Linked DNA regions of Diceros bicornis minor. The protein of the gene in region 2 purifies or fractionates together with the protein of the main gene of each other region. This does not show direct contact. Links are inferred from orthologs where the notes say so. Each region holds a gene or a part of one and is shown on either strand. Other genes may lie near its edges. The genes, in order: SF3B2, SMNDC1, SF3A1 and SF3A3.

Region 1 (8,044 bases), on a different chromosome or scaffold from region 2:
TAACAACCGATGCGACCCACCTCTGGGGCTGCATGTCTTATGTATCATTCTGTAACTTATATCTATCGTGTTTAATCTAAATCTGATACAAATGACTAAATTAGCCCAGAGTCCTCTCTAAGGTACCTAAAATGATACCATGTAAGACTAGCAGAGGTCTGCAAACTTTTTCTGTAACAGGCCAGACAGTAAATATTTTAGGCTTCATAGACCGTTGTATGGACTACTGTATAGACTTAGTTTTTTTTTTTTTCCCCCCAAGAGTCCTTTAAATATATAGAATCCATTCCTAGCTCGCAGGCCATACAAAAACAGGCCGCAGTCCATAGTTTACTAACTCTTGAGCTACAGGGAAGAGAGAATTATTTGGGAGATACTGGAACTCAGTTGAGGATGACGTAACCTCCATGGAAAACCTGAATGGTGCATCTTGTTTTGGACACTAAGCACTAGAAGTGACAGCCAAGAGACTAGACCATGGGGTCAAAGGTTAGGATAAGGGCATTACCCGCTTCTGCTGCTCCAAGAGCTCATGTTCCTTCAGTGAATGATCTCCCTGCTTAAAAAAAGAAAACAAGCTCATACCAGCACCAATACCCCACAGGGCAGTCTGCCACAACTCTGCTTCCTGGGGTCCTTCTCCAGCCTAGGGCCCAAGTTCTAGTCTGTGGTCCAGACCTTCCCAGAAGGCTTGGCTCCAAGATCCAGCTCTGAGGCTCTACTCCCCATTCAGGACCCTGATGAGACCCAGGCCCAGGCTGCCACCTGGCCTACCTGCTTGGCACGCTCCTCTTGCTGCATCAGCAATGCTGCCTGCTGCTGCGCCAGCTTCAGGCGCTCCTCCTCTGACAGTGCCACAGGCTCACCCACCCGGAGAGGAGGCGGGGGCCCTAAGTTTGGAGGGCGGGGTCCAACGGCCATAGGAAAGCCAAGGCCAAGGCCTGGTGGAGGTGGTGGGGGTGGTGGAGGAGGTTGCAGAGGGGGGAGTCCCATGGGTGGTGGTGGCATGGGAATCCCAGAGAGCTGTGGAAAAAAATATGACCATAAACTAGGAAGTATTTATCTATTGCAGACCGTTCTTTTTTTTTGGTGAGGAAGATCGGCCCTGAGCTCACATCTGCCAATCCTCCTCTTTTTTTGCTGAGGAAGACTGGCCTTGAGCTAACATCCATGCCCATCTTCCTCCACTTTATATAGGACGCCGCCACAGCATGGCTTGACAAGCGGTGCGTTGGTGTGCGCCCGGGATCTGAACCGGCGAACCCCGGGCCACTGCAGCAGAGCACGTGCACTTAACCGCTTGCACCACTGGGCCAGCCCCTCTACTGCAGACATTTGTTGGGGATCTACTATGAGACAGCTGCTGAGATTCAAAGTCAAATGATACATAGTTCTTGCACTCAAGAAAAGAATACTCGATAGCAGTATCGAGAGAAGAGGATGCTAACTTTGGGGCACCAACCAACGAAAGCTATGGACTCTCTCCCCAGAACAATACCACGAACACAGACTTGGCATACAATTTCAGGAGATTCAAGGAGACCTCTAAAGACTATCTAGGGACTCCTCATCTCCCACACAGAAGTCAGTGGACCCCACGTCAGAGCCACTGCTCTAGAGAAAAGGAGTCAAATCCTGGATCAGAAAGAACATGGAAGTTGAGAGGACTTAAATAAATGGGAGCCAGTGTGCCCTGATGACTCAATAAATGTAGAGGGTATCAAATCAAATCAGGAAGTGAGCTCTAAGGTCTCAGTGAATAACATGGGAACTGTGCCCTGGGAGGGCAAAGAAGAGGGTGATTACTTCCAGCTGGTGGAGGATCAAGTCAGGCTTCCAAATACTAAACAGAATCTTAAATGACAAGTAGAATTTTGAGGAGCAGACATTGGAGGAGGAGGCAAAGATCAGGACCACCAGAGAACTGAAGAGCTCCCAATTCTATCACCGCAGTACCCCCCTACCCAATCTGCTAGTTGCATCCACAGTACACTGCATGTAAAAAAAAAGGCTACCCTGAGCAAAAGGGATCTTATAAAGTGGAACAACCTCCTCACCTGCGCTGACATGGGAGGGGGGGCAGCTTTGTCCCCATCTTCGCCTCTCAGAACCGGCCGATTCAGCACGATGCCAGTCTGCAAAAGAGAAAGGACTCTAGGTTGGTCCAAGAGGAGCTGTTCCAATAAACCACGTTCGCTCCCATTCATTCAACAAAATTTACCCAGTGCCTGTCTGCCAGAGGTCCGACTGGGCACTGGGGAAGAAGGTAGAGGTACAGAACAGAGGGGTAATCCCATGAGTGGCAGTAGCATGGGAATCCCAAAGAGCTGTGAAAAAAAATATGACCATAAACTAGAAAGTATTTTTCTACTGCAGACATTTGCCGGGGGTCTACTATGAGACAGGTGCTGGAATTCCAAGTCAAATGACACATTGTTCTTGCACTCGACGTGAGCAGGGACCTGGGAACAGGCACAGAAGCGATTACAACAGAGCAGGTAAAGGCAAGCACAGGCAAAAAGAGTAAGCCCCCACTTGGCGTGCTGAGGTACATAAAGAACGAAGACTGCTCTTCGTGAGAGGTCATGAAGGTCTCCTCCAGAAGCTCGGCCTATCCTGACGTCCCGCTGCCAACACTGACCTGACGGGTGTAGGTCTGCAGCCGCTCCACCAGCTCCTCGCGACTCCCTGCTGGGCAAAGCACAGGATCAATAGGGTAGGTCAGGCCGAGCAGGCCAGCCGGCCCAAGTCAGGCCCCAGCGTCCGGCCTCCGCCCCCCGCCTCCGGGTCTCCGGGGTAACCAGGCTCCGCTTCCCCGCAGGCCTACGCTGCCGGCTCTTGACCTCCGTGTTTCTCACCCTGGATCGGAGCTCCGATCTCTGCCAATTTTGCCTGAAGCTCCTGGGCAGCCCAGGCGCCATAGTGCCCAGGAGGCGGCGGCGGCGGCAGCTGCAAGTCTCCTTTCGGAGGCTCAGGATGCTCGGTCGCCATCTTAGCCGCAGGAAGGCGCGCGACCAACCCGGAAGCTCGGGCCAGCCGCAGGCACACGTCCCGAGACTTCCGGCGGCGCCGTGCGCCACGTCCGCTCGCGGGTTGGAAGGCCGTTTGGATGGAGGCTCACCCACTGCGTTCTGCAGCCGTCCCTAGGCGGCCTGGTCGCGAAGCCTTCTGGGAGTTGTAGTACGCAGGTCACGGCCTCTGCCCGCCCAACTCCCGGAGAACCGTGCGCGCCCACAAGCCCGGGAACACTGGGGGCCGGAGCGGGGGCGGGGCTGCGGGGAAAGCTGGTCCCACCCCGAGGGCGTGCTTTCTGCGTCGGACCGGCCGGAGCGCAGACCGCTAGCCTTCCGGCCCGACTCCCTGGTCAGGCGTGAGAGGTCCGGACGCTTACGTCCCCGGGGAGTCCCGAACTACTCATTCCCTCGGCGGCCGCGCATTGCGGGCGCCAGGCGGGAGGTTGCAGCCGATGCCTGTGATAAAACAGTGTCTGATTGTCTGCCCGTCCACCCCCGGCGCAGGCAAGGATTGAATGGGCTGAAAGGGGATCGGAGCCGGGAGAGGAGCGGGCCGCCCGGGCTGGGCTCCAGCTGCCAACCTGGGGGAAGGGCCACACTAAAGCCCCTTTTCCCACCTTCCAGGCTGGCTCAAATGTCGTCTCAGCCTTCTCCGGCTTTCCTTCTCTTCCTTGGAGTTCCCATAACACGTTCAAACCTCCACCATTTGCTTTGAAGTCTTGCCCCTCCTCCCCTCTTCCATCCCCAAGAACGTGAGCAGAGATCTTGTCTTTTTACTGTCGCGCAGCACCTGGCGTTCAAGAGGCGCTCAATAAAAGATTACTGAAAAAAAAGCAAATGGAACAGTCTTTCTGGCGACAGGATTTGCGTCTCTTTTAGTCTCGAAAATAAACTCAGGACATTTTCTTTCCTCGTTCCCATCAGCCTCTAGGTGGGGTCCACCCTTCCTCGGCACCAGTGGCCTGTGCGCCTGAGGGAGGGATGGGCAGGTGCCCTTGCCTGCCCAGCTTCCACCTCTCCCTGCCCTAACCTGTCAATTCGGTTTCTCTCCCCACCTCTGCCACTAGCTCTGAGGTCCCTCTCCCATTCTAGCTCTGCCCTCTCACTGACAGCCAGGTTCACTGCCTGTGTGAGTGTGTATGTGTGTGTCGGGTAACAGAGCCAGGAAACTCAAGTGAAGTGGTCTCTTTTTCCCCACACACCCGCACCCTTCAGACCTTCTCTCCAGCATGCTCCATTTCACTGACTGCCCCCAACAGAGGAGTAACTGGGAACAGGGGGGGAAAATGTGGTGCCAGGTCCAGGGAAGGTGAGGTTTAAGAGAGACAGAGGAAACGACTGGGCCAGGACTGTTGCTCACATCCCGGCCCTGGCTAGGAAATTCTCTTCACTCCTCCCCAAACCATGACCTTTCCCTGTTTCATCACTGCCACCATCCCAATCTCCTGACACTCTCAGAGGAGAAGCTAAAGCCAGAACGGACAGACAAAAGAAGAATGGTGCCCTCCCCCTAGCTGGTCAGCCCACTCAGGCAGAACCATTCCTGACCCAAAAGAAGTGTTTTTCTGCTCCCTGTAACCAGAGAGCTGCTGGCAGCTCCTCTGAGGCTGGAGGCCCCCAGGCATGTGTATGTGCTGGGGAACAGGAAGGGGGTCTCTAAGGCAGGATAAACTAAGAGCTGATGGGTGAGGACGTAATGTAAGTAGGGCCAGAAAGGGAGGGATGGGCCAAGTGGGGCCTCATTTTATCATAAGCCCTGGGACCCAGGCAGGGTAGGACCCCCCCATTGTGCATAGGAGAAGACTGAGGGGCGGAGAGAAGCTGACGTGCCCAGGGTGTCAAACTGGGACCACAAGCAGTTCTCCTGACTCTGAGAGTCCCCATTCCTTTCTCCTCCTTAACAAGGACCCTCACACAATACCTACCTGTGTGGCTGTGGAGTGGAATCCAGTCCCTTCCAGTCGCAGCTTTGGGTGGCTGCCCCAGCTCCAGGATCCTTGTCATACCAGGCCTAGAGGGCAGGAGAAAGCTGGGGTCCATGAGAACCCCAGAACTAAATGCGGGGCTCTTGGTGTCTGGCGTGACTTTGGGAAGTGCTCCTGCCCAGCTCCCAGGTGGTAGGAACTAAGGGCTAAGAAGGCAGTAGAAAATTCAGGACCACCCCACACACATGGGAGTTCACAGAGAGCCTTCACATGTATCCTCTCTGCAGTCTCAGAACAGCTCCCCATTCTAGAGCTGGAAGCCTTCCCAGGGAGGTGCCTCTTGACTCTGGGACTTAAGTTCAACCGGGGTTGAACTTGGGTTCTCTGATTCCCAGTACAAGGTGCCTGGGCAGGGGTCCCAGGGCCACTAAAGCTCTAGTGGGAAGTGAGTGGGTCTGGAGTCCTGGTGGAGAGTAGGAGGGGGTCAGTAGCAGGGGGCTGCCTCAGGGGCTGGAAGGGAAGGGGTTCCCAGGGGTGTGAGGGCAGATGGGACCAGACCAGGGGCCAGAGCTGTGCTTCTCTGCTGGAGGTTGAAAGAGGAGAAAGAGAGGAGGGAGGGAGCATGTGGGTGCTGGGAAATGTACCTGTGTCTCTAACTCCTCTGGGACCCACCAGCCAGCCCAAGGTTGACCAGCCGAGCCCAGGAACGCCTAGCAATGCCACAGTACCCAGATACCTTCTGGGCCTCAGTTTCCCCTTCTGTAGAGTGAGGGCAAGGAGCTGGTCACATTGGTATCCAGACTCTGCAAGATTGCCCGGGGAAGATGCCTGCATCCGAAGACGCCACTGGAGAGTGTTAACTGGCAGTCTGCGAGTCAAGGCTGCCCCCTCCTCTTCCCGCTCCCCTCTCCCTCCCCCTCCTGCGCGGCCGGGCCCCCGCCCCCGCCCCGCCTCCGGTGTGCGATGGGGGGCGGGCGGCGGGCAGAGCTGAGAGGAGCGGAGCCGAGCGGACGCCGCCACCTGATCCCATCCAGGCGCGGAGAGGAAAGCGACCGGCACTCGGCACGCAGGGCCCCCGGCGCCCTCGCATCCGCAGCGGATTTCGGGACAAGGGTTCGGAGGTAGCGGCGACCGGCGACCACCCCGGCAGAGCCCGCGCGCCGTGAGTACTGCAGTGGCCGGCCTGGGGCGGGGGTGGACCAGATCGGGATGGGGGATGAGGGGTGGGCGGGAGAGTGTCGTGCGGGCCTAGTGCCTGGAGAGCATGAGATTGGGGGCGCTCTGTCCCCTGGGGAGTGGGAGAGGGAGGGGTGAGAGGGAGAATCTGGCCTATCTCCTATGGTGACCAGACCCCGGTGACCGGATCCCTGGGAGAGGTTGCAATAAAATTGAGGGAATGGGGGCTTGGGGGATAGTGATGGAGAGAGGAGGATGAAGGGAATTCGGAGGCAGGAATGACGGGCCCGGTGGATGGCAGAGAGAGGGGGCTGGTTGGGACCTGGAGCCGGCTGGGGGGAAAAAGGGAAGAAAAAGAGGGAGGTGGAAAGATATTTGATCTCCTAGGCCACTAATTCGAAGCCCCCTCAGCCCTTGTCCCTTTCCTCTCTAGTGCCCTAGGCAGTTTCCCTAATCACTGGGCTGTGCCATCCTCAAGTAAGGATGGAGTCTCCAGGTCATCCAACGGTCAGGTCCAGGTGTTCCAGGCCAGGGCACCCTCCTCTTCTAAAGGCACCAGTATTAGCCCTAGAGCTTGGAGGAGAGAGAGAAAAGGGTTCATTTGGGAGTGGGTGGGCGTCCAGGCCAGTTTTCAAAGCTCTGGCTAGCTATCCCCTTTCTTCTTTGGTTCCCTGGAGAAAGAAAAGCAATTTGCAAAACTGGGCAGTAGCCTGAGGTAGGCTGTTCTGACTAAAATTAGCACTGATATTCTGATGAGGCTGGGCACCCTGACCTGTCTGGGACGGCTGTGGGAAACTCTCTTCGTGGAGAAGACACGGGGGAGGCTGGGGAGTAGTTTGAAGCATGTGAGGTGCAGGAGCCAGGGCCGTTGCTCTGAAGCCTGCCCCGGACCGCCACCCACCCTACACCAGCCTGGAAATTACACATAGAAACCTAGCCCCAGGTGGCCCCCTTCCCAGGTGCCAGTGCCTTGACTGCATAGGGAGAAGAGACATTGTGGAGTGAACTTGCCAGGGAAGGGAGGCCTCCTCCAGTGTCCAAGCAGCACCCTCCTCGGGACCTGGAATGTTGAGGCTGGCCAAGTGCCCACCCAGAGGAGACAGGCTTACTGCTTTCAAATACCTGAAGGTCTGTCATGGAGAAAAATGGTCCATGTGGCCTAGGAAGGCAGCGCTAGCAACCATACAGAGTGGAAGGTGGAAGGAGACAAGCTGAGAAAGGCACTACCAGCAGTAGACTAATCCTAGTGTCCCAGAAAGAACTTCTGAACAGCCAAGGCTGCTCAGAAATGGGCCAGGCTGTATCTGAAGGTGATGAACGTCGCATCATTGACCGTGGCCAAACAGAAACTGGTGCCCACCTGGGAGGGCTGGGGTCCAGGGAATTCTTGCACTGATGATGCCCTGTTCTAAGTGGGCGTCAGACTGGGGTCTGGCTGGCTGGGTCCCCAGGGCTAAGCCATGGAGGGGAGTGGGATAGAGGAGGCCACCAAGTACCCCATCACCTTCTCTGTGTGGCCTGGTTGAAGTGTCTCCCAGGGAAAGGCCCACTGTAGCTCCCTCCAGGCTTGACCTCCTTGGCTGACCCAGAGTCCTCTGAGAAATAGGGTGGTTTCAGTGAGTTTAGCAAAAGTGGGAATAGGCTGGCCCCCCAGCCTTGGGAAACTCTCAGTCTGGTCACTAAGTCCTCTAGGCAGGATGAGTAACAAAGGGAAGAAGGTGTGCATGCGGCAGGGGCGGCATCTTGGGCTTTTTCTGCCATGCCCTTGGTTGCCCTCTATGGCTGGACCCTTCACCCTCCTCGGCTCCAGGCAGATTAAGTCTGTCTGCAGGCTGGTGGAGGAAACCAGATGATGGGGCCTGGGGAGAAGGAAAAGGCATCACCAGGACATCTTTCCACCCAAACAGGTTTAAATGTAATCCAGGATTA
Region 2 (8,053 bases):
CCTCCTTTTATAAGATGGGTTTTAGCTTCTATTGATGATCTTTGCCCTAATCACTGAGGACTGCACATGGTGATTTTTCCAATTCTATCATTCCATCTACATTTATTGGCTGGAATTCTTCTATAAAGAAAACAAGTCTCTTCCCCCACCCTTGATTTTGAGCATCACTCTGGAGTTATGGATTTTAAAAATGTATTCAATACTTTGATAATCTGTCACAGCCATTATTCTTCTTAGTGCCCAAATTGACTCACATTTGGCCAGTGGAGTTCCCTCATGCTGGGGTCTGTGAGCTTTTGACTTCATCCTATTAGTTTTGGGGCACTTCTTGCTTTCTAGCAAGATGTTCCAGGCCTGCCTTTGTACTCTTGTACTTTCTGGGCCTGAGACCCAAAATCAACCATTTCTCCAAGAAATGCTGTTTCCTTTCAGTGAGGAATGGTATTTAGATATCAAGATATGGGCACCCTTCACCAGGGTAACATTACTTCTAAGAAATATACATATGTAAACAATTCTAATTCAAATTCAACATCAGAGAGCTTCCCCCCATTACTTCTTTTATTTTATATTTTTCTTTCTTTCCTCTTGGAGTTTTAACTTACATAAATATATTAATTATTCACTTTATTTATAGTAGACATAAAAGAGTTTCAAAATTACATTACCAATATTACTATTAGCAATAAATCTATAATTGAGATTTTTTTGTTTTTGTTCTTTTTGTCCTCAGACTATATCCCACTAAGAATGTATGTAAGAGTACTATTAAACACCACTTTTGAATAGGTCTAAAGAACTTTGAATGACTCTACTATTTGACCCTTAGCAAGGCCTTAGATCATAATCTTTTTCATACTGAAGGAATCTATTTTCTGGGTTTCTTTTTTACAAAATTTTTTCTTGTGATGAGAACTTTTTTTTTTTTTTTGGTGAGGAAGATCAGCCCTGAGCTAACATCCGTGCTAATCCTCCTCTTTTTGCTGAGGAAGACTGGCTCTGAGCTACCATCTATTGCCAATCCTCCTCCTTTTTTTCCCCCAAAGCCCCAGTAGATAGTTGTATGTCACAGTTGCACATCCTTCTAGTTGCTATATGTGGGACGCGGCCTCAGCACGGCCGGGGAAGCGGCGCATCAGTGCACACCCGGGATCCGAACCCGGGCCGCGAGTAGCAGAGCACGCACTCTTAACCGCTAATCCACAGGGCCGGCCCCTGACGAGAACTTTTAAGGTCTACTCTCTTAGCAACTTTCAAATATACAATACAGTATTATTAACTACAGTCACCATTCTGTACATTACATCCCCATGACTTTTTTATTTTATAACTGAAGTTTGTACCTTTTCACCACCTTTACCCATTTTGCCCACCAACACCCCCCCTTGCCTCTGGCAACCATCAGTCTGTTCTATGAGCTCAATTTTTTTTTTTAGACTCCACATATAAGTGAGATCATACAATATTTGTCTTTCTCTGTCACTCATTTCACTTACATAATTCCCTCAAGGTCCACCCATGTTGTCACAAATGGCAAAATTTCTTTCTTCTTCATGGCTGAGTAATATTCAAGTGTGTGTGTATTTGTGTGTGTGTGTGTGTGTGTGTGTACATTTTATTTATTCATTTATCCATTGATGGACACTTAGGTTGCTTCTATGTCTTGGGTATTATAAATAATGCTGCAATGAACATGGAGATGCATATATCTTTTCAAATTAGCATTTTCATTTTCTTTGGATAAATATCCAGAAGTGGAATTGCTGGATTGTATGGTATTTCTATTTTTAATTTTTTGAGGAATCTCCATACTATTTTCCATAGTGGCTGCACCAATTTACATGCCCACCAACAGTGTACAAGGGTTCTCTTTCCTCCACATCCTCGCCAACACTTGTTATTTGTTGTTTTTTTGATAATAGCCACTCTAATGGGTGTCAAGTAATATCTCATTGTGGTTTTGATTTGCATTTCCCTGATGATTAGTGATGTTGAGCACCTCTTCATGTACCTGTTGGCCATTTATATATCTTCTTTGGAAAGATGTCTATTCAGATCCTCTGCCTCAATTTTAATTTTTTTAAATTTGTAATTGTTTTTCTGCTATTGAGTTGCATGAGTTCTTTATATATTTCTGATATTAACCCCTTATCAGATATATGATTTGCAAAACTTTCTCCCATTTGGTAGGTTGCCTTTTCATTTTATTGATGATTTCCTTTGCCGTGCAGAAGCTTTTCAGTTTGATGTAGTGTTTTCTGTTTGTAGTGGCACGTTTTCTGTTCTTTAGTGGTACAAATAAAACACAGAACAGCTGAAAATGCACATTCTAACACTAGGAAGGCAATGCAAACTTAAGTGAACAAGTCAGGATTGCTACGACTGATAGCACCTGCATTGATAAGCATCTGTTTAAGGTTGTTTTTCCATCAACCTTAAACGGATGATGCCACCTAAGAGTCATTCTAGGACATGGTTTCAATGCACTGTACCCCAAAACACTCAATAAGCACAAAAAGCCAGTAGCTTGCCCCTGCAACAAATCTCCATGCAAACGTTCAAAACACCTATTATGACTAAAGACAACAAAGGGCATAAGCAGTTATTATGACTGAGTACACATCTCTAATTCATTGCCTTAGGCATTTGTGGATAGAACAAAAAATGTGGGCCAATCGGGTGCTACCTTTAGCCCAGGGACACAATAAAAGCTAAGCTACAGAATGCAATCTCTCATTTAACCAACACGTCTCACTTTATTACATACTTCTGTGCTCTGCAGTGCGTTGGCACATTTCCAAAGGCAGCAGCTATACTTTCTCTAATTTTCTTTAGCAGTGAAAGGAAACAGTTGTATATTCTGATGACAACTTGCAGGCTTTAAATTTTGTTTACTTACTGAGTTTCAATAAAATAAACACCAAGTTTAAAGAACTAGAGATTTTAGATACTACTATTTTTGAAGAATAAACATGACTAAATTTGAATGAACGTTTTAAGAAAAATCAGACACTGAAAGTAGATCTTGACATTTCAAAGGAAGTGGTAAGTCAGAACCCCTATTTGAAGTATCACTGTTAGTCAAAGCTCATACTTGCTCCAGTTTTGTCTTTAATAGCACACAGAATCATCGTGAATATTAAATGAATACATATTAAGTGCTTAGAAGGGTGCCTGGTACATAAAACTGTTATCATCTCTTTCGAAGACCTAAAATTTAATATAGCTTTTCTTTCCAAATATAATCTATGTTGCACAGAGGGAGAAATTAAAAGCAATCTTGAAAATAAAAGCTTATCAAGGTGATAGAGAAATCTACATGGGAGCTTACAATAAAGTATTTTCCTATTTTCTGACGGGAGCTTACAATAAAGTATTTTCCTATTTTCTGATCTAAGGGCTTCATGAAGAGTTCTTACTTGAGAGATTTTTACACAGCTATAAAGTTTATATTCAAGGAAGATCCTCTTGGCATTAGTTCCTAAAATACAAAATTGGAATTAGAGCAGTTAAAAAGTACATTATATTTAAACAAATTTCTACTCTGTTAAGGAAAAATACATCCTTTCTGGTTTGTCGTCTCTTAATTCTAGCTGCACACTGCTGCCCTCTGCAGGATTTTAAATTCTTGCACGTTGCCTGCCACCCCAATCATACTCACAAACCTGACATTGTTTCCATCTTTATAGGTTATGACTCAATAGGAGGGATATGTGTTCGTATGTAGAGAAAAAAAGGGAAGGCCCTTCCAAAAAAAAAAAAAAAAAAAAGAGCAAGGAACAAAAGTAAGATGTCACAGTCCAAAAGAACCCATCTGAGAGGAGGGCCTTCTTACCGTTCCACAACAGACTCCAAGCCCCAGAAAAGCTTCTTTCTTGGCAATTACATAGCCTCTTTGTGCCTCATGCCTTTATTTATTTTTTTTACTAGTTTTGTTTTTTAATTGTAAAAGAAAATTATATACATATATTAGAAAAGAAAAAGAGTAAACAGTAAAAAGCGTAATCAGTGAAAACATTTGGCTTCCACTCCAGGTCTCGAATAGGTTTGCATATCCATCCAGAAAGAGTTCATATTATTACAAACATACGCAATGCGCATTTCTTTTAAAACATAAATGGCAGTATTAACACCAGTCTGCTTATCATCCAAGACTATAACTTGGAGATTGTTCCCTATCAGGCGAGATTAACCTATATAATTAACTTAGTTAAAACCAAATAAGTTGTAACAAAATAGGTTTTAAATAAATCAGTCTCTTCTCCAACACGCTTTGCCATAATTAGCTTTTTGTTGCTACTAAGGCGCTTACTATGATATAAAGCACTGGTCCTCAAACTTGAGCGGACATCGGTATCACCGGGAGACTTGCTAAAAGACTGCTCAGCCCATCCCCAGAGTTTCCGATTCTGGAGGTCTGGGTTGGGCGCTGAGAATTTGCATTTGTAATAAATTACCAGGCGATGCTGATGCCACTGGCACGGGACCACACTTTGAGAACAAACTGCTAGCATGAACACTGCAGTAAACCCACTTCCTAGCACCGCTCGCCTAAGAAAGCACACGCAACCTCTCCCCTGGGAATCCCAGGAAGAGCCCAACAGGTCCCACACCTAAAAGAAGAATCCAACGCCTCCCCGCTCCGAGCCGGAACTGAGGGAAAACAAACCTACATCCGGTGCCTGGCGCAGGCTAACTACGCCATTTCCTCCTTACTAAACCCCGCCCACTCTGCGTCTCCGATGCCAGTAAGGGCAGGCGACCCAGAAGGCGCTAGTAATCACGTGAGTGGAGCCACATCTCGCGAGGGTTTTTAACCTCTCGCGAGACTTCACCCGCCCCTGTCTTTTCCTCCTTCCAGTGCCCGGCTTTCCTCCCCTCCCCCTCACCGCCGGCCGAGTTTATCCTTTTCAGACCGAGTGGCCTTGTCGCCGCGGAGATTTTTGCTGTTGCTGCCGCTGTCTCCGCCGCGACCACCGGGCTCTTTTGCCCCGACCCCTTCCCGCCGCCCCGTCCCCAGCCCCACACAAGGTAACAAACCCGGGGAGGGAAAGAGGTAGGCCTCGCCGGGCCTCGGCCTCTCCGCATTGAAGCGGAGGCCTGAGGCGGAGGAGGCGGCCGCGCCGGAGAGGCCTGGGCGCCGGCGAGAGCTTTAGGGGCCCCGGCTTCCCCTCGCCCAGAGTGAGCCCTGAGGCCCCGGGCGGGTTGGGCTTGCGCGCCGTGGCGGCGAAGACGGCCCACCGGGGCCGCGTCGGGTGGGGCTGGGACGCCGAGGCCTGCCGAGGACGCGCTCGGCCGCGGGCTCCCGCCGCCGGCGGCCGCTCCGCTCGTGTTGTCGGTTTCCCTGGAAGCAGATGTTGGAATTGCGTGGTCTGAAGTAATCGACCGAGTGGTGGCGGGCTTCGAGGTGTGGGTGACCGGCGGGGAGCAGCCGGGCTGCTCTGACTCCTTCGGAGCCCTTCCAGATTCTGGGCTGTGGTTGGACGGGAGTTGTAGGACAGGAGGGTCCTCGGAAACCCTCTGGGTTTGCTTACAGATCGAGAAAGGATTCTCTCGGGTCTTATTTTCAGGAGAGGAATAAGCCGGATTGGTGAAAGGCACGTTCTTTAGAATGCCTAAATGGGAGAGTATTTGTGCTGTGTCTTGTACTGAAAAAAAAAAAACACATCGGCACCATTTAAGTGACTGGGTGAAAGATTTTAGCTCTGGAAAAGAGCTTTTTAAACACGCTTTTATTAATTGAATAGCTTAGGTAGAGTTATTTGTGTAGTTAATCCAAAAGCCATTTATATTTGGTTTTGGAAGTATTCTTTAGTGCTTAAAAATACTTTTTTCGGAAGTCTCGATTTTTCCAAAAGATTAGTGCTGTGTTTTGGGGTTTTTTTGTTTTTTGGTGACGATGTAACAACGCTGTTAACTGAGCCTAACGCAGTGCTTTCCCTGTTACAGGAATTTTAAAAAAAATGAGAAATTGTTCTTTTTTTTCTTACCTCTTGTTTTCTGTTTCTCTTTGTATATGGGATTTATCTGACATGTTTATAATCTTCAGAATCCATTGCCTTGAAGTTTGTGGTTTGGCTCACAGCTTTTCTCTGAACTAAAAACAAAGCTAATGGTGAGAAATTAAGCTGCAATGAATTATAATCAAGAGTTGGGAGCAAAATTGGTAAGGGTTAATTCAGGCAGACAGGGAAATTATTTTTTATGGTTGTTTTTTGGTTCAGTTTTCATGGTTTTATCCTTTTTATGTTCCCTAGATGTCAGAGGATCTAGCAAAGCAGCTGGCAAGCTACAAAGCTCAGCTTCAGCAAGTTGAAGCAGCGTTGTCTGGAAATGGAGAAAATGAAGATTTGCTAAAATTAAAGAAAGATTTACAAGTAAGTCTGAGGGGACACTTATAGTAACATTGCTTGAAAAGACTATTTCTGTGTTTTTCAAATGACTCATTGCTTAGAAGGTGTAGATACCCAAAGCACCCTTTGGAGTGGGTCTTTCTCCACCCTCCTCCTTCCTATGTACCTGTGTGTGTGTGCACAGGCATACGGCTTGTAGAAGTGGGGTTGTTTCCTCAGTTTGTATACATCTAAATGAGTGAAGCATTCTTTGTTACGTAAATCTTGTATGCTCATATAATTTTAAAAAATGATTTTAGAAGTCTCTCTGAAACTTTCTAGAGAAGAGGTACATATAACTTTATAGTGGAAAGTGCTTTTATTTTCCACTGAAAAAGGAAATATAGTTCAAAGAGTAACTAAAATTAAAAGAGAAAGATAGAACCTGATTAAGATTCCTTTTAATGCCACAAGATTCTCTGAAAATGAAATGAGTGTGTGTGTGTGTGTTTCAAAGCTAGCCTGTAACACTGTATTGAAAACATATTATAAAAATATGTAAAGAGATACTAGTTTTCTGCTTAATGTTACATAGTATTTGAACTTAAGACTAGATTTTATAGTGTAGTTGTTCACACTTGTTGAAGTTAAATTGAATCTAACTGGAAAGGAGATTTTAATTTGTTTTGTTTGTCATGGGAGAGTTCAGTAGATATGAAACCTGCTTTTAAAAACCTGCATTGGGCTTTCAAGACATATGTAAAGCCATAATAGTAACTATCTGTTGTTTCTCAGAACACTAGGTTGATTAATAAAAACACCATATATAATATTTGTAAACATAGGATTTTTTACCTTAACAAATTTGAGAACTTAAAATTCTAAACCTGATTTTTTTGAAAGTTTTAAAAGGTGTTTTGATCAGGTAGTCTTTCTTTACTGATTCAATACAAAACTTGAATCATCTTTATCCTAAGTAATCCTTTCCCTCCCTTTATCATCCTCTTGCTTATTAAAATTATTAATATTTTAGGGATATTAGAACTGCAAACAAATGAAACTTATTTGAAATGGGGTCCAGATTCAGGATTCTGAAAGAGCTCATCTGGGCATAATTAAGATGAGTTGAATATTTTCAGGTTCATATTCTGGATTTAGGAAGCTTGCATAAAGTTGCAATAGTATGTTATTTTTAAAAACACAGAAAACAAGATCCCTCTTAAATATGTAGAAGTCAGGCCAGTGGATTTCAGGGTGCCAATCGATAAGAAAAAGATGTTTTGGGAGTCATTTCTCCCATTCCCAGGCCAACTTTCTGCTTGCCTCAGAGAGAGATCCTGGCATGTCCTCACCTTCTTTTACCAACTTAAAAGCTGTTCTTTTTTTCTTTGAAGAGAATAAAACGTTTTGTGCCAGTGTTGGGTATATTGCTTCCTGGGCAGTGGGTGGAAGGGTATATGTACAACTTGTGGAGGAGGAGTTGGGAGTGAAGATTGAAACAGCATTATTATGAGGTCTTTTTAATATTTCTAGAATAAATTGTCAGAGTTTGGGCAGAACTGCCTTACTGTGACATGATCTCTAGTGGAAAATACTGTAGGGAGAGAAACCATTGTGGTAGGCATTGTAGTCAGCACATAAATGACTTACTTAGGGTGCATTAATGACCTGGGGGTCATTTATCTGTAAGATATCTTCTTTTCTATAACCATTTAGAACAG
Region 3 (7,769 bases), on a different chromosome or scaffold from region 2:
TGAACCACACTCAACGCTCAAATGTTTTGTGAAATTCCACTGGAATACTCAACGTTAATTGTCCCATAAGTATCAATATTCTTTCCTCACTAGCTTCTTCTCCTTAGCAAACGAAGGGTCAAATCTCTCATCTTAAGAGAAATAAAGTTTCGGGCTGGCCCTATGGCTTAGCGGTTAAGTGCACATGCTCCGCTACTGGCGGCCCGGGGTTCAGATCCCCGGCGCGCACCAATGCACCGCTTGTCCGGCCATACTGAGGCCGCGTTCCACATATAGCAACTAGAAGGATGTGCAACGGTGACATACAACTATCTACTGGGGCTTTGGGGAGAAAAAGGGAAAAAAAAGGAGGAAGACTGGCAATAGATGTTAGCTCAGGGCCAGTCTTCCTCAGCAAAAAGAGGAGGATTGGCATGGATGTTAGCTCAAGGCCGATCTTCGTCACAAAAAAAAAGAAAGAAAAATCAAGTTTCTCCCCTGCCCTCACGTTCTTTTCTGCTGCTGCCTTCTCCCTCCCCCCTTTCCCCCCCAGCCCCGGAGCTAAACACCCTGAGTTCTCCCAGTCTTGCCATTCCCACTTCCTCACTTCCCATTTGGTCCTCATCCATTTCAAGTGCTCTTGCCAAAGTCAAAAACTGACTACAGTGGTGATCTGGCTCTGTGACCAGTGACCACTCCTTCACAAAGTTCTCCACTCCTCAACTCCCACACCCTATTCTCACCTGTCTTTCCTTCTTGCTCACCATACGTTCCAAGTTTCCTGCCTGGCTCCTTTCCTTCACTTCCTGCCCTATAACATCGAGCACCCCCAGAATTCTGTTCTTGGTTCTCTTCATAGTATTCACACTGTCCTCAGTGATGCACTCACAACCACATCCTCCATTTCCCGTACCACCTCTAATCCCATCCAAATTGACATCCCAGAGCTTTATCCAGCCAGACCCAGTTGACTCCTGAGCACTGTTATCTCTAACCTCTTTCCTGATGAATGGCCAACCATGTACCTGGTCACCCAGGCCAGAAACTTGGGCCTCCTCTCCCTTCCTCAGCCTCTACATTCAATGATAATAACATTTGTCAAGCACAGAATAGGTACCATATGCTTTCCTAAGCACTTTATTATTATTTTTTAAAGATTTTATTTATTTATTTTCCCCCAAAGCCTCAGTGGATAGTTGTATGTCATAGCTGCACATCCTTCTAGTTGATGTATGTGGGACGCAGCCTCAGCATGGCCAGAGAAGCGGTGCGCCAGTGCGCGCCCGGGATCCGAACCCGGGCCGCCAGCAGCGGAGCGCGCGCACTTAACCGCTAAGCCATGGGGCCGGCCCCCTAAGCAATTTAAATATATTAACTCTTATAACCCTCGTGAGAACCCCAGAAGGTAAGTCAGTCCTCTTATTATCCTCATTTTACAGATGACAAAACTGAGGAATGGAGAGCTTAACTGCCCTCAATGACAGAACCAAATTTCCAACATCACTTTGGCTGGAGAGCCTGTACTATGAGCCATTTTGTGAAACGAACTTGCTCAGACCCTCTGCCTCATCACCCATCCTCAGCATTTTTTTTTTAATAAAGTGACTAATCCTCAGTCCTCCTAGCAATTCTCCACATCACTGCCTACCTAGCTGAATTTCTGAAACACAATGTCACTATCCAGCTTAATATCCTTCATTTTCTCCCCGTTGTCTACTAGGCAAAGTTCAAATTCTGAGAATCCCATCTCCTGCCACCAGTTATCCAATGCTGTGCTTCAACCACACCTGTTTATTTACCCATGACCAGAGGGGCCATCTGATTCCTATCTTGGTATCTTTGCATTATTATTTGGTATTACCTTGTTTATTTTTCCCCAGTGACTGGGAAAACGCCAGGACACATGGGCACTTACATGTTTGTGGAAAGGGGACGGACCTCTTCTGTCATGTTCCCCACTGTATTCTGAACTCTAAGCAGTGGTTAGTATACAATATGTGCTCAATAAATGTTTGATGAATGATTAAAGAATGCTATTTCCCTTCCCCAACCACCTACCTGGTGAACTCTTATGCATCCTCCTAAAATCAATTTACCTCACTCCTGTGAGCTTCACCCACCTTAATCTCCACTCTATCTCATCAAAGCCACGTTGATTAGATTACTGTCTTACTCGAACCTGATACTTCTATTATAGAGACAATCACACCATAACGCAATTATTTATGCACATCTTTCCTCCTCACCTGTTTGAGATCTTTTTAAGGACTGGCTGGAACTGTATCATTTACACTGGCGGGGCAATAAACATTTGTTGAGTATTCACGTATAGCTTCCCACTAGTCGGTGAGCTCTCTAAGGCAGAAATTGTACCTCATTCACTCCGGTAACGTCGGAGCCTGGCACCGAGTCTGGCTTAGAGTAAGCACCGAACAGATGCTGCAAATTAACGTTAAAAGATGTACCCTGCAGGCTGGGAAATTATAGAGATTACTGGGCAAAGGCTGGGGGCCGGCAACCCAAATGCAACAGAAGACCGGTGGATGGGCCGGATCGGTGCTTCTCAAACTCGAATGAATCACCCTGGAATCTTGTTAAAATGCAGATTCCTATTTAGAAGGTCTGGGGTGTAGACTTTGTAATTCTACTAAGCTCCCAGGTGATGCTGATGCTGCTGGTCCGCGGACCACACTTTGAGAACCACTGTTGTAGTGAGCTCGTTGCGCTACCGGAAAGCAGCGTAGGAAGCGCGCTGCCTCCTGGGACTTGCAGTCCCTCTAAGCCCTCCTCAGCCTTCCTGCAAAAGTGAGGAGCGCCCGCGCCAGAGGGAGGGCCCAGGCCTAGGCTCGGGCTGCCGGTAGAGGTGCGGGGGACGCGGTACCTGTTTGGGCTCGGTGGCCACCGGCGGCGGCGGGGGCACCGCCTGCACGGGTCCGGCCGGCATGACTGCGACGCTCAGGGCTGCCAGTCCGCCTCGGTGTAGGTGAGCGGTGCTCCGTCAAAAGAGTTTCCCCTCACCAACAGTACGACAAGCTCGCAAGATGGCGGCGACCGAACGAGTCGTAGCCGAGGAGGCGAGGCTGACGCACTTCCGGTCCCGCCCCTATTCCGTGGCGTCACTTCCGCCCCTTCCGCGCATGAGGCGGCCCGCGCGAGACGCCGTTGCCATGGCAGCGGTCGGGGCGCCCGGCTCTGGTTTGTGGGAGATCCCAGGCGCGGCGGGCGCGCCGAGAGCAGTTCCATGAGCCCACCAGACACAGGGGCTGAGGCTGTGACGCCGGAGACTGGTGAGATGTTCCACATGGCAGACGCCCCCCGCACGCGCCCCCTCTCCTTTACTCCTCGGGTGGGTTCCTAGCTCCCTCCGACCCCGCCTTCTAAGGCCCCCGCTCCCTCCCATTGGCCTCTCTTTGGAGAGCCCCCTCGGGCCCGCCTCCTCAAAGCCCCACCTCCCTACTTCTTAAACCCTCTCTTCTGGTTCATGCCCACCTCCCCCAGGTTCCTTTCCGGAGTCAGAATCCCTAATTTCCACTGGTCCCTTTTCCTGTGGGCGCGCCTTTTCTGGGTTCCACCTCCTGCCGTCCATAGTCCCGCCCTCAAGCCTCATGGACCATCTCAAATCAGGGCTGCTTCTTGAGGCTCCACCCCTCACTCCCACAGGTGCTTCTGCAGACCACTTCCTCCGCTTCCCCTGGCCCACCTCGAATCCCACCTTTTTCACTTCCCCTCCTGATATCCTCTTCTCTCTGTCCCTTCTCCCCTCCCTCCCAACTCCGGAATGCGGGCCTTGCCTGGACTTCAATTTCCTCACCTGTGAAATGGGGGGATGATAGGAAAAAAATGGCCTCCTGTGACTCCTACCTGTTTCTCTCTCTCTTAGACACACACACACACCATAGCTGGTTTATGTCATTGTTGTTATTATTAATGTAGAATAATAATGATAGCTAGGATTTATTGAACGTTTACCGTGAGCCAGACCCTGTCCAAAGACTACGTGCATTACGTCATTTATTTCTTACAGCAACTTATTTACGGTTGAGGATAGTGAAGTTTGGAGTTGGTGGAGTGGGAATCCAAACCCAGGCCATTCTTACTCCTCTACTTGTGCAGTTACTTATTCCTTTGTCTTCAGTCAGTCCCTTCACTGTCCCCAGGGATCCAGGCAATTAGCAATCCTGAATCAGAGACTGACAACTACCATATTGATGGTTTTAGAGTTTCCAAAGTGTTTTCATGGTGGTCACCTGGAATCTCAGCACACTGGCCGGGAGGTGGGCATAATCTTTACCAGAGAGGTAGGTCTTAGGGCTCAGAAAGGGAAGGGGCTTGAATGTTGAACAGGAGTGGAGGAAAGATTCCTTACCTTCTCTGTGAATCAAAAGTCCACCTTGAGCTTGAGGGAACTGAGGAGAGGCAGAGTTAGCTGCTGTTCCTACCTCAGGCAGTGTTGGCTCAGTTAGGGCCATTGCCTGTGTGAGCTCGGGACCAGTGCAGGGCTGGCAGCTTCAGGCTGAGGGTTCCACTCAAGACCCAGGAATTACAGAGAAAGCTGTGTCAAATGCTCCTTCACTTGACACACACCTAAGTGGTTCTCAAACCATGCTTATATCTGCAAATCCCCAAAGTTCATAAGAAATGACATAAGGTAACCTTGGATATTTTTCAATGCTGTGTTTTCCTCTTGTATATTCTTGATTCTTTGGCATTTGCTGCTGCCTCTCAGAACTGGAATCTAACAGGAGTTGGCATCTCAGATGGCCCTAGATGGCCATAGTTATTTGAGGAACAGGTCAATGTTTCTTGGTGTCTTTGCAAGCAAGCGCTTGAGGTCCGGGTGCCACTTGAATACACCTTCTCCCAGGGTGGAGTTTCTTGCTTTCTTTATTTATTTCCTTCCTCCCATTCCAGGAAGGAAACTGGAATGTTTCAGTCTGTTGTTTTTTTTTTGTTTGCTTCTGCCTCATTCCTTGGGGACATAAAATCTCACAGGTGGCAATATCTCATGAGAGGCAGTCACCAAGGCACCATATGTGTGCGGGATGTGGGCCTGGGTGTGTTTGTGTGTGTATTTGAGTGTTGTGGGACGGCTACTCATCGCCCTGTGGGTGGAACTGACAGAGCTGACACACTCAAGACTTGTCCACTCCAGAGACCCTCAGACATAGATGGTGGTTCCTGGCAGATAGGGCTCTGTGTGCCTTGCTCTGTCCCTATTCTTTTTTTTTTTTTTATGAGGAAGATTAGCCCTGAGCTAACATCTGTTGCCAATCCTCCTCTTTTTTCCGAGGAAGATTGGCCCTGGGCTAACATCCATGCCCATCTTCCTCTACTTTTTTATATGTGGGACGCCTGCCACAACATGGCTTGATAAGCGGTGCGTATGTCTGTGCCTGGGATTCAAACCCACGAACCCCAGGCCACTGAAGCAGAATGCACAAACGTAACTGCTACGCCAGCGGGCTGGCCCCTCTGGCCCTATTCTTGCCATGGTGCCCAGCACGTAGTAGGTACTCAGTCACTGTTTGCTGAATGAACACATGAGATCTGAGCCTCTACACCTGCACTGTCTAGTCTGGTAACCACCAGCCTATGTGGTGGTGCATTTGAAAATGGTGGCTGGTCCAAATTGAGATGTGTTGTGTCAAATAGACACTGGATTTGAGACTTAATGCAAAAAAAGACTGTAAGAAAATCTCCTTGGGGGCCGTGGCTTAGCGGTTAAGTGCGCGCGCTCCGCTGTTGGCGGCCCGGGTTTGGATCCTGGGCGTGCACTGGCGCACCGCTTGTCTGGCCATGCTGAGGCTGCGTCCCACATACAGCAACTAGAAGGATGTGCAACTATGACATACAACTATCTACTGGGGCTTTGGGGAAAAAAAGGAGGAGGATTGGCAATAGATGTTAGCTCAGAGCCGGTCTTCCTCAGCAAAAAATGAGGAGGATTAGCATGGATGTTAGCTCAGGGCTGATCTTCCTCACAAAAAAAAAAAAAAGAAAAGAAAATCTTCTTGGGGCTGACCCGGTGGCACAGAGGTTAAGTGTGTGCGCTCCGCTTCGCTGGCCCCGGGAATGGCGGGTTTGGATCCCGGGCATGCACTGACGCACTGCTTGTCAAGCCATGCTGTGGCGGCGTCCTACATCAAGTAGAGGAAGATGGGCACAGATGTTAGCCCAGGGCCGATCTTCCTCAGCAAAAAAGAGGAGGATTGGCATTGGATGTTAGCTCAGGGCTCATCTTCCTCACCCAAAAAGAAAGAAAATCTCCTTAATAATTTTGTATTGATTTCATATTGAAGTGATAATATTTTGAGTATAGTAGGTTAAATAAAATACATTGTTAAAGTTAGTTTACTGGTTTCTTTTTAGTTTTTTTAATGTGACTAGTAGAAAATTTAAAATCCCATATGTGGCTTGCGTTATATTTCTTTTGGCCAGGGCTGCTCTAGAAGCAGCATAGTTTGAATACAGAGCATAAATGTTGGACTCAAGAATCCCAGCTCCCTCAGTGACCTTGGGCCAGCCCCTTAACTTTCTAGAGCCTGAGTTTTCTCATCTGTATAAAGGAAGTGGATTCAGGAAGTGGCACACAGTAGGTCCTGCAGTCAGAGCTAGCACTGTTGAAGTGTGCCCTCTGTGCTCAGGCTCAATGCAGGCCATCCCACCTGCCCTTTCCCACCCCATTCCTCCAGCCTGGATCACCCTCTCTTTCTTCCCGGACAGACTCCTGCCTGCCCCCCAGGGAGCCCTCTCTGAGTGTCCAGTCACTGACTGTTGCTTTCATTGGTTCCCAGGGACTGAAGAGCTGCTCGGGGCCAGCCCTCACACAGGATACAGGAAGCCAGGCACCTGGGTGATCCTCTGACCCTGAGCCCCAGAGCCCAAAGCCTAGTCCAAGAGCTCGACACACTCAGACATCCAGCTCCAGGAGCAGGCACCTGGGCAGAGGTAAGGCCAGGGCCCAGTCCTCTGGGAGGCCGGAGAGGCCTGCTCAGCTCTCAGGAACCACCCCTGGGTGCCTCTGAGCTTCCCAGCACCTGTGGGCACAGGCTGGCCCTCAGGTCCCTTGGCCCAGGCGTCCAGGTCATACTGCAGTGAACTCAAAAGACAGTCCATGTGCTCGCAGGGAGATGAATTGCCAACCGCAAATAATTTCTCAGTGATTCAGTGCCAGTGTGGTGTGTGCTGGGAGGGAAAAGAACAGGATGCTCTGAGAATGTGTACCAGGGGACCTCACCTGGCTGGGTACCTGAGGGAGGTATCTTATCAAGAGGAAGTATGGGGACGGGGCACATTCTGGGTGGTGAGAAGCTGAGATGGAAACAGACCACGCAGGGCCGGAGCTGGGGAAGTGTTCCAGTCTTTATGCTGGAGAAAGCTGATCACTCTGGCTGCCGTATACAGAACGGGTGGGCGAGGTTTTGCTGGGCAGAGGGAAGAGGGTGACCCCTCAGGGAGGCTGTGGCAGTGGCCTGGGGAGATAGTGGAGTGTGGAGTAGTGTCAATGGACAGAAGCGGTGGATTCTCAGTGTGGTCCGGATGTAGGATTGGCATCACTCACTGCTTGCACGTGGGGGTAAAGGAAGGGGATTCGAGGAAGTGCCCAGATGCACTCAGTAGGGGTGCTATTTTCTGAGATGAGGGAGGCTTGGGGGTAGAAATAGGCTGGAGGAAGAGAGGTTTCCCAGGCAAGCCTGGATTGGTGGGGGTCAGAGTGGCCGTGGCCTAAATACTGCCCAAGCAGCCCCTGCATTGCAGGGAGGAGCTGTAGTGCAAGGAAGCACTTTCTG
Region 4 (7,913 bases), on a different chromosome or scaffold from region 2:
CTTTGGTCAGCCGTGCAAGATGCTTAATCAGTTCTAGATAATTGAGACATAATCCCTGCTCCTTATAATCTTACAATATAGTGGTGCAGACATTCATCGTCATAAAATACGAGAGGACCATAAAGAAAAGAAAGCTTAATTGGGAGGGGTAGACTAGTAAAGATATTTCATGGAAGCGTTGGCCTCTGGGCTGAGTCTTGAAGGTGTAATGATCCCTGGAAGTGAGTTAAGCCCTTTGTGTTAATTGGGTCCTCTAGGTAGCAAATTTCGAGACAGAGTTACATTCACAGGCAGTTTATTGGAGGGTAATACTCATGAAAGATAAAAAGGAGAGAGGAAAATTGGGCAGGGAGAGCCTAGGTCATGACGCAGACAGGACAAAATCTTGACCAATCCAACGGGGAGCTCTGGAATAGACTACTCACTAGAAGAGTCTTGCACTGGGCAGAACCAGCCAGGCCATAGTACCCCCACTGTGCTCAAGTCACTGGCTGGGGGTGGCCCAGGAAGAGAATGGCCTTGGCTTAAAGCGGAGGGGGATCATGAACGCACTGGAGCTGCAGGATGTCAGCTAATGATGCTCCCTGCAGCTAAATGGCAAGTTCATTTCTGATGGGACATCTGAGCAGCACGTCTCCATTTTCCTTTACTATGCTATTCAGGCAGGTTTGGAGAAAACACTTTCTGAGGCCATACCTCATTTGGGTGCTTCCGGTGGAATTCCTTTATTTGCTTGAGTCTATTATAGAATTCAGCAAATTCATTGGGTCCTGAAATGGCACTGAGCTCCTCCTTTCGTAACCTGCAATTGCAGGAAAAATCCAAAGAACATAGAGCACAAAGTCAGTCCTTTAACCATGGCTCCTCAAAAGCACTAACTCCTGCATTGGCTGTGACTGTCACTTACCCATCCTTATCATCATACAAATCCCTCAGGTTCCCACTGACTTCCATATACCTCTGAAAGGCAAACAGAAACCCATCAGAATGAAGCAATCTGTACAACCACAGAGCTAAGCCACCAACAAGGACTCTCTAGTCAGAGCCCAGGGAAACCTGGGGAAATGTGGTATTAAAAGTTCCCGTGCAGAGGGCTGGCCCCATGGCGTGGTGGTGAAGTGCGTGCGCTCCACTGCTGGCAGCCCGGGTTTGGATACGGGGCGTGCACTGACGCACTGCTTGTCAGGCTATGCTGTGGTGGCATCCCATATAAAGTAGAGGAAGATGTTAGCCCAGGGCCAGTCTTCCTCAGCAAAAAAGACAGGAGGATTGGCATGGATGTTAGCTCAGGGCTGATCTTCCTCACACAAAAAAAATAAATAAATAAAAGCAAACTCTTGGGGAAAAAACCAGAATAAATATTCAAAAAAAAAAAAAAAGAGTTCCTGTGCTTTCTAGTACCTTTAACAGACAGCACTGGTTCCTGATTAGTTTTTAAAACAGGCCAATTTGAAGATTACCTAAGTGATGTGATTTGAGGGGTGGCATCGAGTTCCTATATTTACATGTTACTGATGATTAACTTTCTCTAGAAGAGTCATCAAAGAGAGCCATATAAGACAGTCACCCTTTGCTAAACAGCAATTCCCACCTAAGACCCTCAAAGATAAAAGGGTGGTCGAAGATGATTTTCACTACTTCAAAAAGTTTGACTGAAGAATGTACAGGCTAAATAAACTTCCTTTGGATTCAAACTCAGGATGGTACAGGTACATAGCCCCTTCTCCAAAGCTTTTGGGACCAGATTTGTTTCAGAATTTGGAATTTTTAAATTCAGAAAGGTATTATATATTATGTAATATCCCTAGTGGAATCTGGAACACATATTAATAGTTCTGCAGTGAAACTCACCTAATATTTACTAAGTGAGATAAAGACCACAAAAGCCTCTCATCTGTTCAGGTCAGGTTTTGCTGCCAAATGAGATCAAGTGAGATTCTGCCACCAAGTAATTACTCCCTCACAACCCCCTTTGTTTTCAGAGTATTTTGGATTTGGGAATTTAGATAAGGAACTAGGGGCTCGTAAGACTGACTATCTCCTGCAAATCAGAAACTCTGATGAGGTCTTTTATTTCTTTCTAAAGACATCTCAAACATATACAAGAGCAGACAACATAGTATATAAACCTCCATTTACCTATCACTTAACTTTAATAAGTACCAACATTCTGATTTATCAGTTTTCTAAAAGTAAGAAATTAAACTATTACCAGGTAAAAGCAGTTTGGTAGGCACAAATACTTCAAATCAGTGTTCTGGGAGGAAAACACTAACGGACAGCATTCTCTTCCGGGCAAAAGAGGTAGTACTTTCTGGGCCCCAGTCACTGACTTCTAATAACTATTCCCTAGACATCCATGGGACACAGGATACTGTAAGAAGGGGCGTCCCTCCGAGTAACGGAGAAGAGTACGAGTCGCCCGTTCAGAGACGCGAGGAAGGGCAGTTAGGCACCCTCGGGACTGGGCGCCGCGTGGACATCTCCAGGCCGACAACCCGCGACTGGCCAGTCCGGTTACGTCTGGCCAGGGCTCCCGCTGAGCGGCCGCACCCGCCTCCCCGCCTTTCCCGCGCATCCCGCCCAGCCCGACGCGGTCGGCGGGGGTACTCACGTCCTGCATGGCCCGGGTGCGGTGGTCCGAATTGATCTGGTCCCGGAGCTGCAGAGGCAAACGGGGACACGGCGCCGTTGCTCGGAGGGCTGGGTCCCGGGAGGAGGGGACCAAGGCGGGGGCTCGGGGAGGGGCCGGGGAGGGGCGCGGGGAGGGTCAGAGGGTCAACCCGGGATGGGCCCGGCCTCAGAGGGAGCCCCCGCCCAGGCCCCACTCACCGTGGACTTCTTCGTGAGCATCTCTTTCGCCATGACGTCCATGAGCCGTTCCTTCTCTTCGTGATATCGCCGTTGCTGCTCAAGAATCGTCTCCATCTTCCCTGGGCCCCCGGACCTCTATTCAGACCACCTACACGGCCGGAAGCAACTCCTGCCGCCTCGCGCGCCCGCGTCCCCACGCTGTGCGTCCGGCCGCACTGAAGTTCCGCGGGTACCGGAAGTGCCTCGGGGACTCGAGGAAAAGTGAGCACCGAAAGGAGAGCCAGTCTGGGCTATCGAGATGGCAGCAGTGCCCCCTGCTGGCCGGAGGTGTGGTGGCGCGACGCCGAGCGGTTTGCAGGTGCCTCTAGGGGGCATACAGAAATCCCGGAACCTGAGGCGAAGTGCCGGCTTCCCGGGGCTTCCTGGCCAAGCAGGCAGGGCCACTGTGGACTGAAGAGTAGTGGAAAAGCATGGATGGGAGTTGGGGGACCGGAACTTGAGACCCTTACTGTGTGTGAACTCTGACAGCGTTTTTCCCTTCTCCGGATCTCAGTGTCGTTGTCAGTAAAATGGGGATGATAGGGTTTTTTTTTTTTTTTTTTTTTTTTTGTGAGGAGATCAGCCCTGAGCTAACATCCGCCAATCCTCCTCTTTTTTTTGCTGAGGAAGACGGCCCTGGGCTAACATCTGTGCCTATCTTCCTCCACTTTATATGGGACGCCGCCACAGCATGGCTTACCAAGCAGTGCGTCGGTGCGCGCCCGGGATCCGAACCAGCGAACCCCGGGCCGCCGCAGCGGAGCGCGCGCACTTAACCGCTTGCGCCACCGGGCCGGCCCCTGTTTTTTTTTTTTTAAAGTAATTCACATGCAGAAACAACCTAGTTGTCTAACAGCAGGGGACTGATTAAATAAAATATGGTACATCAAAGTAGTGAAATGCTATACAGCCGTAAAAAAAAAAAGAATGAAGCAAGTCTATATGTCCACTTCTAGATGGCAAAATGAAAACGTGTGTCCGTATGTTCAGATGTTCATAGCGCCGTTATTCATCATCAACAAAAACAGAACGCAACCCCCAAATCCATTCACTGGTGGATGGATAAGCAAAATGTGGTCTATCCATACAATGGAATATTATTCAGCAATAAAGGAATGCTACAATGTGGATGAACCATGAAAACGTCATGCTAAGTGGAAGAAGCCATACACAAAAGACCATATTCTGTAGGTCCAGATGAAATGTGCAGAAAGGCAAATCAATAGAGACAGAAAGTAGATGAGTGGTGGCCTGTGGCTGGAGGTGAGAACGGAAGTGACTGCAAATGCGCACAAGAAATCTTTTTGTGGGTGACAGAAATGTTCTAAAATTGGATTGTGACAATAGTTGCACAACTGTATTAAATTTGCTAAAATTAATTGAATTGTACACTGTGAATGGGTGAATTTTATGGTATGTAACTTATACCTCAATAAAGCTGTTAAAAAAATCTGTATGAACTCATAGGGAAAGATGGCCACACAAAGTGAAAAAAGCTAGACGCACAACAGTGTGTATAAAAATAGATGCACAAACAGATTATTTCTGTAAGGATAGCCAACTAACAGTAAACAGGGGTTGTTTATGAGGAGATAGCCTGGAAGATCTGGTACAGGAGGGAAATTTTTCTTTGTATATACCCAAAGGAGAGCATGAAAAGTTTTTTTCTTAACATGTACATGTATTACTTTTTCAATTGCAAAATAAACTTAAAACTAAAAATGAAAATACATATATGCACATGAACCTTAACAAAAAAGAACTAGGAGGCTATAATATATCAAGGAGTTGTTAGTGATTTATCTTTTGTTCCCTTTACTTTTTAGAATTCTCCAATTTTTCTACAATAAGCATACATTGTTTTTTAATTTTAAAAATAACATAGGGATAATGACTCTTGTCTTGCTTGCTCATGGGGTGTTGTAAGGGTATTTTATGTCTAAAAATTTGAACAACCTTAGGGAGAGGACTCCAGGCATAACTCCTCACCACAGGCTTTTCCTGCACCACGAGGAAAAAAAAGTAAGAGATCTCCATTCAGGATCAGAGAGATGAAGAGATGAACCTTTTTTTTTTTTTGGTAAGGTTTGGGATCTACTGTATTTCATCGAATACCAGATGCCAAATGTTAACCCCACCATGTTCCACTAAGAAAGAAAAAAAAAAATTGTCAAATTGTGTCGGTTATATAATGATTATACAATTATATGATGATACAATGCTTCTAGGTTTCTGAGATGTGAAATCTAAAAAACGTTTATCTTGAAATCAATGCCAAGGTTTTGTACCTGCAAATTTCTTCCTCTTAGGTAGATGGACCACCTAAGCAACACCACTTACTTGATGCCTTCCTTCCCCACTCCATCAAACCAGTCACGAAGTCCTGTCTTTTCCGCTCCTGCTGCCACCTGCCTCATCATCTCTCACTTTGACCACTGCACTAGCCTCGGAACCAGCCTGCTCATCTTACCCTCCAATCCATTATTCATGCTGCAGCCAGAGTGATCATCTCACCCCTGCTTAAACATTTCCACTGGCTGCTTCACCCGCAGAGTGAGGTCTGTTTAACTTGGCATTCGGCTCTTCCTGACCTGGGCTCTGCCTGCCATTTAGCCTCTTGGCACTTCCTCCAAGTGAAATTACTTGCTGCTTCCCCAAAGCACCATATGGTTTTTCAGGCCCCCAGGCCTTTGCGCCAGCTGTTTTCTATGCTTGGACTCCTCCTCCTCAACAAGTATTTATTGAACATGTAGTAAGTGCCGGGACCTGAGGATGGAGGGGTGAGCAAGGCAGGCGCGAGCCCAATCCTCCAAGTGGCTGATGGGAGAAAGAGACAAAAATGTGGAATGTCTAATTATTAATCATAAACACACACGGTGGGTATTCGTAAAGGTTTGTTGGAAATGTCAACCAGGGCCTCAGAAAGTTTAGAATTGGAATTAGGGAAAGCAGTGTGAAGCGGATTAGAATCCCAGAGCTACCAGTGACTACCTATGTGACGTTGGGGAACTGACGAGTCTCCACCTCCGTGAAATGGAAAAATGCCCGCCCCGTTGGATTTCTGGGAGTATTGAAAATGAGATACAGACAATCACGCGGTTGCCCCGGGCCCGAGGGCCCCTCCTGCCCAGGGCGCGAGGGTCCGCCCACCCCGAGGCGCGGGCCCCCACCCCCGGAGGCTGCGGGCGGGACGGTGAGCGCAGGAGCCCGCGCGTACCGAGTGTGCGCACGAGCGGACTCCGGCGGTTCCGCCGCGGAGCCCAGACCGCAGGCCCCGGAGGGGGCAGGGGCAGGGGGCATGGGACGCTGGGTGAGGGGAGCAGCGCTCCGCCCCATCTCCCCACTTTGGGGGGCAGCCCCCCTCGCTCATTCCCGCCTCCGCCCTTGAATCACGGGGGGGCGGGGCCATGACCCATTCATGCCGGGAATCGGATCCAGATGTTCCCGCGGCGCGTGCAGCTGCATCCTTGCCTTTTTTGGCAAAAAACGTGCGGCCTCGAGCGGATCCCGGGCCGCCTCCGCTAATCCTCGGGAAGAGGGGGAAGGGGGCCGAGGGTCTGGGTCCAGGCTGGGCATCCGCACCCGGTGCTCTGCGGGATTTGGGAAGGGCTGTTAGGGGAGGGGGGCGATTTGTACCAGACCTGGGAACCCACCGCCACCCCCGCTCCGGTCCAGAGCCTCTCTCAAACCCCTCCCTTCCCCATATGGAGGAAAACGCCCTCCGCCAGCAGGGGGAAGGTAGGCTTAGCGTGAGAGGGACAGTGACAGCAGTGGAGATCCCCTTTCTCGGGCGAGATTTCCCACGATCCTCAGAGTCCCTCCGTCTGCGAAGAAACCTTCCTTCCCCCTCCATCCGCAAACACACACATACAGGCCTTCACTTCCTCACACTGCTTTATTGCAGAATCTGGAAGGGGGTGAGCCGATCCCACCCCTCTGCCCATCTCCGGGCAAGATGAAACTGAAATGAAATCAGAAAACACTCATAGGACACGGGCTGGGCAAAACCCTGTACCCTAGGGCCCCCTAACCAGTGAACCCATTCTGCTGCCCAGACAGCCCCAGCCCTGGGGACAGAGGTGGGATGGGGTGGGGAGGGTCAAGCCTGAGGATAGTCCACCTTGCAGGACTGCTCAGGCACCCATAGGAGACCTACAGTCTTGGGAGAGAAGTCTAGATTGAAGGGGGCCTGGGTCCCAGAGTCCAGGTTTGGAGGGCTGGGGGTCTAGAGCCCTGATTTGGGGAGGGGGTTTGGTCTGGGAACCCAGACTGTAGAGGAGAGGGCTGAGTCCTGGAGTCCAGGCTTGGGGAGGGGATTTGAATCACAGAGGCTCCAGAGGAGCCCAGGTTTGGGGGCCCTGGGTCAGGGAGTACCAGTTTGGGGGATGTTGGAGTAGGGAGGCTGAATCCTGGAGCCCAGGGGGAGCCCCAATTTGGGGAGGGGCTGGATCCCAGAGATGGTTTGGAAAAGGAGCCTTAGTCCTGGAGCCCTGGTTTGGGAGGGCCTGGGGCCCAGACTCAGGGCCCCGCCTGGCTGCAGCCCTGGCATAGCACTTGGTCTCCGTCGGGCACGAAGCCCTGGCCCACCAGAGAGGTGGAGCAGCGGGCGCAGGAGAAGCAGCTGTGGTGCCAGTGGCGGTCTTCAAAGGACACATACTTGCCTCCGCCGAGTCCTGGAGGGAGGCTGGAGGTTAGCTCTGCAGATCTAGAGGGCAGTCCTGCCCCTCAGCCTCACCCAATACCAGATGCCACTTCCTTGCTTGCCCCCACCCACTCAGTCCTTGGACCCTTGTCCCACCTGTGATGGGGCGCTTGCAGCTGCTGCACTTGGGTGCAAAGAGTTCTCCAAAACAGGCCACGCAGTAGGGATCATCATCCCGGGAGGTGAACTGCTGCCCTGCCAGGGGTGTCTGGCACCCAGTGCAGACCAGGCATTCTCGATGCCAGGGCTGGTCACGGTATGTCACACCACCCTGTGTCAGCGTCTGTGGGGGCAGCATCTGTCAGTAGTGGGGAGTGGGGATTCCCGCCCCACAACAGAGCCTTGCTCGCCTCCACCT

What was found.
Region 1: the proteins of SMNDC1 (region 2) and SF3B2 purify together in Homo sapiens (affinity purification with mass spectrometry; 3 studies listed by BioGRID and IntAct, with this or other methods). This does not show direct contact. The link is inferred for Diceros bicornis minor from reciprocal best matches to the Homo sapiens genes SMNDC1 and SF3B2.
Region 3: the proteins of SMNDC1 (region 2) and SF3A1 purify together in Homo sapiens (affinity purification with mass spectrometry; 3 studies listed by BioGRID and IntAct, with this or other methods). This does not show direct contact. The link is inferred for Diceros bicornis minor from reciprocal best matches to the Homo sapiens genes SMNDC1 and SF3A1.
Region 4: the proteins of SMNDC1 (region 2) and SF3A3 purify together in Homo sapiens (affinity purification with mass spectrometry; 3 studies listed by BioGRID and IntAct, with this or other methods). This does not show direct contact. The link is inferred for Diceros bicornis minor from reciprocal best matches to the Homo sapiens genes SMNDC1 and SF3A3.

The regions. Positions count from the first base shown.
Region 1 is NC_080770.1:7,249,039-7,257,082, forward strand, and holds the start of SF3B2 (splicing factor 3B subunit 2), read right to left. Parts: upstream 3,010-8,044; 5' UTR 2,992-3,009; coding exon 2,859-2,991; intron 2,692-2,858; coding exon 2,642-2,691; intron 2,136-2,641; coding exon 2,058-2,135; intron 1,024-2,057; coding exon 775-1,023; intron 560-774; coding exon 509-559; intron 1-508. UniProt on the Homo sapiens protein: Component of the 17S U2 SnRNP complex of the spliceosome, a large ribonucleoprotein complex that removes introns from transcribed pre-mRNAs.
Region 2 is NC_080745.1:74,123,333-74,131,385, reverse strand, and holds the start of SMNDC1 (survival of motor neuron-related-splicing factor 30), read left to right. Parts: upstream 1-4,986; 5' UTR 4,987-5,031; intron 5,032-6,257; coding exon 6,258-6,377; intron 6,378-8,053. UniProt on the Homo sapiens protein: Involved in spliceosome assembly.
Region 3 is NC_080774.1:23,863,611-23,871,379, forward strand, and holds the start of SF3A1 (splicing factor 3A subunit 1), read right to left. Parts: upstream 3,008-7,769; 5' UTR 2,924-3,007; coding exon 2,861-2,923; intron 1-2,860. UniProt on the Homo sapiens protein: Component of the 17S U2 SnRNP complex of the spliceosome, a large ribonucleoprotein complex that removes introns from transcribed pre-mRNAs.
Region 4 is NC_080752.1:51,927,930-51,935,842, forward strand, and holds the start of SF3A3 (splicing factor 3A subunit 3), read right to left. Parts: upstream 3,004-7,913; 5' UTR 2,929-3,003; coding exon 2,833-2,928; intron 2,663-2,832; coding exon 2,615-2,662; intron 961-2,614; coding exon 908-960; intron 803-907; coding exon 697-802; intron 1-696. Other genes in the region: FHL3 (four and a half LIM domains protein 3), read right to left, coding at 7,372-7,526, 7,652-7,838. UniProt on the Homo sapiens protein: Component of the 17S U2 SnRNP complex of the spliceosome, a large ribonucleoprotein complex that removes introns from transcribed pre-mRNAs.